Pelodiscus sinensis: one gene and its partner. Each later gene encodes a partner of the first gene's protein in a complex. Links are inferred from orthologs where the notes say so. Each region holds a gene or a part of one and is shown on either strand. Other genes may lie near its edges. The genes, in order: SYK and TYROBP.

Region 1 (3,907 bases):
CACTTTCAAAATAACTTCTTGCTGTGTATATGCGGACTAAGTTATTTCGGAATAATGCTAGTTATCTTGAAATAGCGTTGCAGTGTAGATGTACCCTGAGAGGAGATATGATAGAGGTCTATAAAATCATGACTGGTGTTGAGAAAGTAAATAAAAGTTATTTACTTGTTCCCATAATACAAGAACTAGGGATCAAGTGAAATTAATAGGTAGCAGGTTTACAAGAAACAAAAGGAAGTATTTCTTTATAGAGCACAGTTCTGTGGAACTCCTTGCCAGAGGATGTTGGGAAGACTAGGACTTTAACAGGGTTCACAAAAGCATGGAAGATAGGTCCATCAATGGCTATTAGCCAGGATGGTTAGGAATAGTGTCAGAAACTTTTTTCTGACAGGCCTCTGTCAGAAACTGAGAATGGGCATCAGGAGTTCGATCACATGGTAATTACCTGTTCCATTCATTCCCCATGGGGCACCTGCCATTGGCTACTGTTGAAAAACAGGATACTGGGCTAGATGGACCTTTGGTTTGACTCAGTATGGCTGTTCTTATGTTAGTAGTCTTCAAACATATTAAGGGCTGTTATGGAAAGGCTGGTTAACAACTATTCTCCATGTCCACTGAAGGTAAGATGAGGCAATGAGCTGGATGTGCAGAATGAGAGAGTAAGGTTGGCTATTAGGAAACACTTTCTAAATATAGGGCTAGATACCCACATCCCTAGTGTAACCATACACTAGAACAGGTTCTCTAAGGAGGAGGTGGAATCCCTCTGGGAAGTTTTAAAGAACAGGTTAGAGGAAGAGGATGTGTCAGGGAGAGGCTAGGTTTACTTGGCCCTGCCTCAGCCAAGGTAGCTGGACTTGTTAACCTCTCCAAGTCTCTTCCAGCCCAATAGATTGTTTTCAATTCTAGGAAACCCAGTGGAGGTTGCCTGTAAGGCTTTGGAGCGGACAGGCAAGCGGAAAGGGTCGCTCTAATGCAGCCAGCTTAGGGGCAAGGCGAGGCGCGGAGGCGAGCCAGGGAGGTGTGGAAGTGCAGGGAGTGTTTAGGAGGGCCGGGTTAGAAGCGGCAGCCAGGAAAGGCAGAAGAGGAGCTGGGCAGAGCCGAGCTGGCGCATCCTGGCGCGGGAAGCCCGAGGCCGCTCCGCCCGTGTCCCAGCTGTTAGGCAAATAACGCGGGCCGGGGAGCAGCTGCCCGATGAGGAAGTGTGTGAGCTGAGCCAGGCTGGGAGGAAGTAGCCGGGGCGGCCGCCGCAGAAAATGAGGAAGCGAGGCTGTCACTCCCTCTGAACGCGAGGCTGGGAGGCAGCGCCCCGGAGCGTCTCCTGCCCAGAGCCGCGACCCCCGCGGTAAATCCGCAGCGGCGGCTGCCTCCGCCCTACCCCCTCCCTTTGCGCTGCTCCGGGGCTGGGGGCGTCCCCCGGGGAACCCTCTCTGCAGAGGCGAGGACCCCCGGGTGGCTCAGCCGGGAAGGCTTCCCGCGGCGGCTCCCCGTCCGCCTCGCCTAGGTAAGCGCCGCTGCCTGCTCGGGCAGGTGAGGGAGCCGCGGGCGGGATGCGCGCTCCGGAGTCCTGCGGGCACCGCGGGGTGTGGGTGTAAGGCGGGGGGAGCTTCGCGTCTAGACTGGGCTGCGCGCGTGGGTAACACACCAGGGCAACCCTCCTGCGGGCACGCGGGGGATGCGCCGCCCCCAGCACGGACCCCTCTGCTTGCCCCCGCGGCGCGGCGCGGGGAGGGTGTTTCGCGCCCTGCCAGGCACGCTGGGTTGCATCCAGTAACAGAACACTTAATTGAGCGGCCCCACATTGCAAAATTCACACACAGGCTCACCAAGTTCGGAGGGGTTCGAATCTGCAGCTTCTCTTTGGGCCCACCTGTAAGATCACATTTAAATTGCTTTCCTGGGTAAAGTTTCCTCAATTAGGTTTCTTTGTTTCATCCCAAGCTTACTTTTCATGTATAAATTGAAGAACAAACAAACAATGTATCATTTACCTAAATAATAAGAGGTAAAACACTGACCATGCCATGGCAAATTCATGTGAATCAGCTACTGATGCTTTTAAAAATATTGAATACATTTGTAAGGAAAAAAATTAGCCCCGAAAAGCAACAGAAGAAAGCAATTCCACAAAGCAACTTAATATGTAAACAAATAAAATATATCAGTTTGTGAAGGCAAACACAAAACTCTTAAGTTATAATTGTCTTTCAAGTCAGCATGAACCAGTAAATGAGCATATCTGGATGCATGACTATGAAACTGGTTTGTTCTGTAAACAAAACAATGTTGTTCATAATTTTCATGAGATGTTATTACCGGGACACTAGGTACAGTATTTTCGTTCAGAGTTCTGAAGCCTGACAATTTTTATCAAATGTCTTTTTTTTTTCTAATAAAAAAGCTGTCACCACTATTTATTTCAATTTTACAATAGTGAAACTCCATTGACTTCAACAGAGTGAATGATATAAAAAATGAGAGTATAGCAAGTGATGTCTCAGGCCAATTTTGGGGCAAAGCCAGCATTCCTTTCTCGGGCACAAATACCTTTGATTTCAGTGGTGTTGGATCAAGCCCAGAATCAAATTTCTTAATTTGGCTTAATTTACAAGGTAGTTTTGGAAAGCATTTCCCTATTATGATTAATTTCCATAGTTCAACAAACCATTTACATTCTCATAATTTTGGTTGGTATCTGTTATTTTGGGCCTTCCCCTGCAAGCCCCCTCCCCGCGTACAAAATATTTGCTTTTTCTGTACCTTTGGAATCAAATGTTCAGTCTGATTCAAATGCATTGTCCTGGCACAGACCTGATAAGAATGTCAGGGCCATAAACAGTTAGCCTGAGAGCATTTGGAGTGGGTACTTTTACAGGAACTATGACGCTTTCCTTTCTCAGCCATTTGTTAAGCTTAAGACGGATAAAAGCAGAAATAAGGAAGCTTGAGACGGGAGTGTGTTTTTATTTTGTGACTTTCTGGGGGAAGGGAGAAAGGTTAAGAGAAGGGTTTCATAGATAAAACAACTCAAAATAAATATTTGAAACCATTTTAGGAAGATCAGAATGAGTAGTTTAATGACTAATATTTATTCTGATTTTCATATTTAGTTGGAGGAATAATTAAAATCCACAGTTGTATTTTATAAAGCTTTCAGGTTTTGTTTCTATTAAATAATAATAAAACACTGTAAAATCAAAGATATAAATTTTAGTCAGCTACATTTCTACTTCCAAGTAAGCATGATTGTATTGATGTCAATGAGAGCAGAATTTGACCTATAGAGTGGGGGGGGGGGGAGGGAGTTATTTTGGAAACAGTTAATGGATGTCTTTTTTAAAGTAGTAGGAGCCAAAAATAATATGTTAATACAATTATATGAATGTTGTTTTCAATGTTTTTAACTTTAATGACTACACAATAATGGCATTAATTAATTTGATTCCTTTCTTTTGCACTTCCTATTTAAGTGCCTGCTATTGCTTCCACTAATCATGTCAATGGTAAAACTACTGTTGAAGTTAGAGGATGCAAGTTTTAATTTTTTAAGTCAACTTACATCTTTCTCTTTCATTCCAAATACTGATATGATATACTGTATTGAGACCAATTTTCACAATGGTGTTCATGTTGTATGAGTCTGATATTATTTGACAGTGTTATTTATGTTAATTTTGATTTTGTAAGTCTACCTAATGAGTTGCTCTTCAAAACCTACTAAAGTTATTAGAAAGACTTACACTAATGCCACTGGACTTTGGATCAGGCCCTAGAGGCAAAGGAGCACAGGGAGTGACTAAGCCAAATTCTTCCTCCATTGACACGTCTTTAAATTCAGAGTAACCCTAGGGTATGTCTACACAGCAGTGTTATTTCGGAATAACTGATGTTATTTCAAAAT
Region 2 (3,907 bases), on another chromosome or scaffold:
TGTGTTGATGGCCTGTGCTCCCCCCCCCCCCCCCCCCCCAACTTGGAGCTGAGCCGGCATCTCTTCATCTTTGCCCTTAGTTCCTAAGGGAGCACAGGCCATCAACAATTTCTTTCCAAGCCTCTCTGGGCAGGCATCTCGGGGGAGCATTTTTGCACGGAGCGGTGTGTGCATGTGTCACTGATTCACGGTGCCAGCCCCGGGAGGCCCTCGTCAGCCCCCTTCAGGGTCACGCTCACGGGGGAAAACCACCTGGTGTCACCCCTCCGGGGACGGAAGGTTGGAGTATTCCACCGCCCTGCCTCACACCGGGAGACCCCCCCAGCCAATCTGACTTGGAAGCCTCGAGGAGACGTGGGCCCCCAACGGGAGCAATTTGTCCCCCAGCCCCGCAATGCGCGTGGCTCTCGGGCGAGTCCGTGGCTGGAGCTCGAAGAAAGCCCCGAGAACAGGAAGTTACAGCCTGGCCCGGCTGGGTCGCTCTGGGCGGTGATCCCTCTCGCGGTCCCGCTCCTGTCCGGCCCCGGCCCGGATAAGGACGTTAAAATGTGTGTACTTGGCTAACCGGCTAACCCCTGGATGCTTCCACCCCACGCCCAGGGAGCCAGCTGCTGCTCTGTGTTGCTGCTGGGAGCCATGCAGGGCCGCTAGGTGCCAACTATCCGGGCCGTTGGCACGCGGCCTTGTGTGGGTGTTAGTGTGTGACGTTCAGACAGGTGTGTCGCTGCCCACACCCAGGCGGGGGAGGGGTGTTAGTGTGTGACGTTCAGACAGGTGTGTCGCTGCCCACACCCAGGCGGGGGAGGGGTGCGTATGTGCTAGCGGCTGCAGGCTTCCTCTTGACCAAACTCCATTCCCAAGGGGAGGAACTGAGATTAGGCTCCGCCTCCTGTGGGGCAGCAGAGGGGCGAGGAGAAGGGCCGTCTCACAAGGTGCAGTGAAGCTGTGGGGCCCGGTCCCTGGCAGAGGGAGGGAGCTGGGGGCAGAGCAGTGTGGGGTGCAGTGAGGGATCGGAGTGCATGAGGTTCAGTGGGGATGGGGGATGCGGTGACCAGGCAGTGGGTTGCACTGGGGGAGGCACTAAACTGTGGGGTTGGGGGTGCAGTGCCCAGCCCAGAAAGAGCAGTGATGTGTGGGGTAATGTCCGCCGTGCAGTGAGTTGGGGGTACACTGGACTGTTGTGGTGTGGGGGTGCAGTGATGGGGGGGCAGTGCCCAGCACACTGGGCTGCAGTGAGGTGTGGGGTGCAGGGCCCAACACAGAGACGTATCAGGGTACAGTATCTGGTACAGGGGAAGTGAAGTTTACCCTGGCCCGGGGGGGGGAGGGGGGGACAGACAGAGCCCTGCAGTCTCTAGCTCCCCGGCTGCCCCTCCCCTTATCCCTTCCTCTTTCTGAGGACTTCCTGTCCGCCCAGTCACTTGGCTCCGTCCCCAGCACCCAGCCCCTCCCGCGGGGACGTCAGTGCCTGGCAGACACCCTCCACCAGCCTCCGCCGAACCCCAGCACCATGGGCCCCCCAGAAGCCCCGACCCTCTGCGCCCTGCTGGGCTTGGCCTGGACGCTGCTGGGTGAGTCTGACCCCTCCAGGGAGAAGCTGTCTCCCCCCCACTGTTCCCCTAAACTGCCCCAGATCTCTCCCCTCCCCCACAGTTTCCCCAGTCTTCTCCCCACAGCCCCCAGAACTATCTCCTCCCCAACCCAGCTGCCCGTTCTCCCCCCCCCAACCTGCTAACACCCAAGTTACCCTCCAGGATCTGCCTTCCCCTTTTCTCCTCCCTTTGTCAAAAGATGTCCCCCCACCCCCACCCCCCACACACACGGGGTCCCCTGACCTGCCTGGGCTGCCACAAAGTGCTTTTTCTTTAAAAAAAGGAAAGGTGCCGGTGCTCCAGGGGGGAAGTAGTTGAGCTCTGACCAGAGGTGCCGGTGCTGGTACTGCGTACTGGGCAGTACCATCACACAAAAGGCACTCGTGGAAACCAGTATCCCCAACAGCCCCCTCCCCAGCCTCCATTGCCCCCCTCCCCCCCCCGCAGCCCAGTCCTGCCTGCCACGAATGGAATCCACCCCCGCACCACAGGCCTGGCCCAGTCTGCTCCTCCCCTGCCTCCCCCCCCCGCCACCTGCCAAGCGTCCTGTCAATCACCAGCCCCCAGCACTGCAGGGGAGAGTGGTCCATTGACAAGCATGAGATGCTGGGGAATGGGGGCAGGATCGGGGGCCCCAGCTGGCATCTGGTGTCTGGTCCACGCTGCCTGTCCCACTCCCACTCTGGGCTTTCCAAGGGAAGACTTGGAGGGAGATGGGCAAGCCCAGGGCACCGGGTTTCTCTTCCTGGCTCTGGGAGGGGAGGCCGGTGGTAAGAGCAGAGGGCTGGGGAGCCAGGTTGCAGCCGGAGTGTGTGGAGCTGGGGCAGGGAGCAACTGCTCCTGGACTCGCCCCATGCATGGCCTTGCTCACATCGCTTACCCTGCTCCCTGCCTCAGTTTCCCCCAGATGAGTGGTGCTACTGGGCCAGCACAGAGGGACCTAGTAGTGGAAGTGGGTGAGGTTGGGACCACAAGCTGTCTGGCTGCCCTGTGGCTGCTCTGTCGGGCTCCTAGTTATGGGTCACCCCTCCCCCAGTTCTATGTATCCTTCCTCCTTCTGTCTCCAGCTTTTGCGTGCTTAAAAATACCCAACCACAGGACTCGGGCTTCCGGCCTCCTCAGCCCTGGCACACCCTCATTGCATTAATGTAATGGAACCCAGCCACCCTACTCTAAACACTAGACCCCGCTCCCGTCGCAGTGCCAGGGAGGGCTCCCAGCCCCCTACTCTAACCACTAGACCCCGCTCCCGTCGCAGTGCCAGGGAGGGCTCCCAGCCCCCTACTCTAACCACTAGACCCCGCTCCCGTCGCAGTGCCAGGGAGGGCTCCCAGCCCCCTACTCTAACCACTAGACCCCGCTCCCGTCGCAGTGCCAGGGAGGGCTCCCAGCCCCCTACTCTAACCACTAGACCCCGCTCCCGTCGCAGTGCCAGGGAGGGCTCCCAGCCCCCTACTCTAACCACTAGACCCCGCTCCCGTCGCAGTGCCAGGGAGGGCTCCCAGCCCCCTACTCTAACCACTAGACCCCACTCCCCTCCTAGACCTGCTAGTGATCTCAGGGTGTTAGACGTGGACAGCCGAAGGGGGCAGGCGTTGGGACAGGGCAGGGCAGGATCATGCTGTACCCCTAGCCCTGCAGTACAGGGGCTGGCACCTAGCACAGAAACCAGAGGCATGAAACTGACCACAGGCCCTGCAGGACCTAGGGACTGGGTGGGCAGGGGGAGCTGGTTTCACTGCACAAAAACTGCAAGGGAGCTACAGTCAGGAGTGACTCCGGATCGACCCCAGCCCTGCCCCCGCTGCAGTCAGGAGTGACTCTGGATCAACCCTGGGGAGCTGGGATCAGAACCAGCCCTGCCCCCGCTGCAGTCAGGAGTGACTCTGGATCAACCCTGGGGAGCTGGGATCAGAACCAGCCCTGCCCCCGCTGCAGTCAGGCATGACTCCGGATCGACCCCGGGGAGCTGGGATCAGAACCAGCCCTGCCCCCGCTGCAGTCAGGCGTGACTTCGGATCGACCCCGGGGAGCTGGGATCGGGATCAGAACCTGCCCTGCCCCCACTGCAGTCAGGCGTGACTCTGGATCGACCCCAGGGAGCTGGGATCAGAACAGTCGGAGAGATGGGAAGTGACTGGCCCGAGTTCCCATGGCCAAGCTGCCGCCCTGTCAGTCCCAGGACACGGGCACCAGGAGGCAGGGGAGGGAAGGTGTGATTGGCTCAGGGTGTGCCAGGGAGAGAGGGGCTGTGTGGAGCTGCACATATCTGCACGCTGGCCTGTGGGGCTCCAATGCTTGGCGGGCCCCGGCCC

What was found.
Region 2: the proteins of SYK (region 1) and TYROBP are in contact, whole or in part, in a crystal structure (PDB 7Q5W), measured with the Homo sapiens proteins. The link is inferred for Pelodiscus sinensis from reciprocal best matches to the Homo sapiens genes SYK and TYROBP. Residues at the interface, in NP_001167638.1 of Homo sapiens: Arg22, Arg42, Asn46, His62, His63, Tyr64, Thr65, Ile76, Ala77, Gly78, Gly79, His92, Asp97, Gly98, Leu99, Arg175, Arg195, Arg197, Lys212, Leu214, His215, Tyr216, Arg217, Ile228, Pro229, Glu230, Gly231, Lys232, His243, Lys247; in NP_003323.1 of Homo sapiens: Pro90, Tyr91, Gln92, Glu93, Leu94, Gln95, Arg98, Ser99, Asp100, Val101, Tyr102, Ser103, Asp104, Leu105, Asn106.

The regions. Positions count from the first base shown.
Region 1 is NC_134716.1:48,173,446-48,177,352, forward strand, and holds the start of SYK (tyrosine-protein kinase SYK), read left to right. Parts: upstream 1-1,087; 5' UTR 1,088-1,510; intron 1,511-3,907. UniProt on the Homo sapiens protein: Non-receptor tyrosine kinase which mediates signal transduction downstream of a variety of transmembrane receptors including classical immunoreceptors like the B-cell receptor (BCR).
Region 2 is NC_134734.1:4,220,718-4,224,624, reverse strand, and holds the start of TYROBP (TYRO protein tyrosine kinase-binding protein), read left to right. Parts: upstream 1-1,075; 5' UTR 1,076-1,510; coding exon 1,511-1,571; intron 1,572-3,907. UniProt on the Homo sapiens protein: Adapter protein which non-covalently associates with activating receptors found on the surface of a variety of immune cells to mediate signaling and cell activation following ligand binding by the receptors.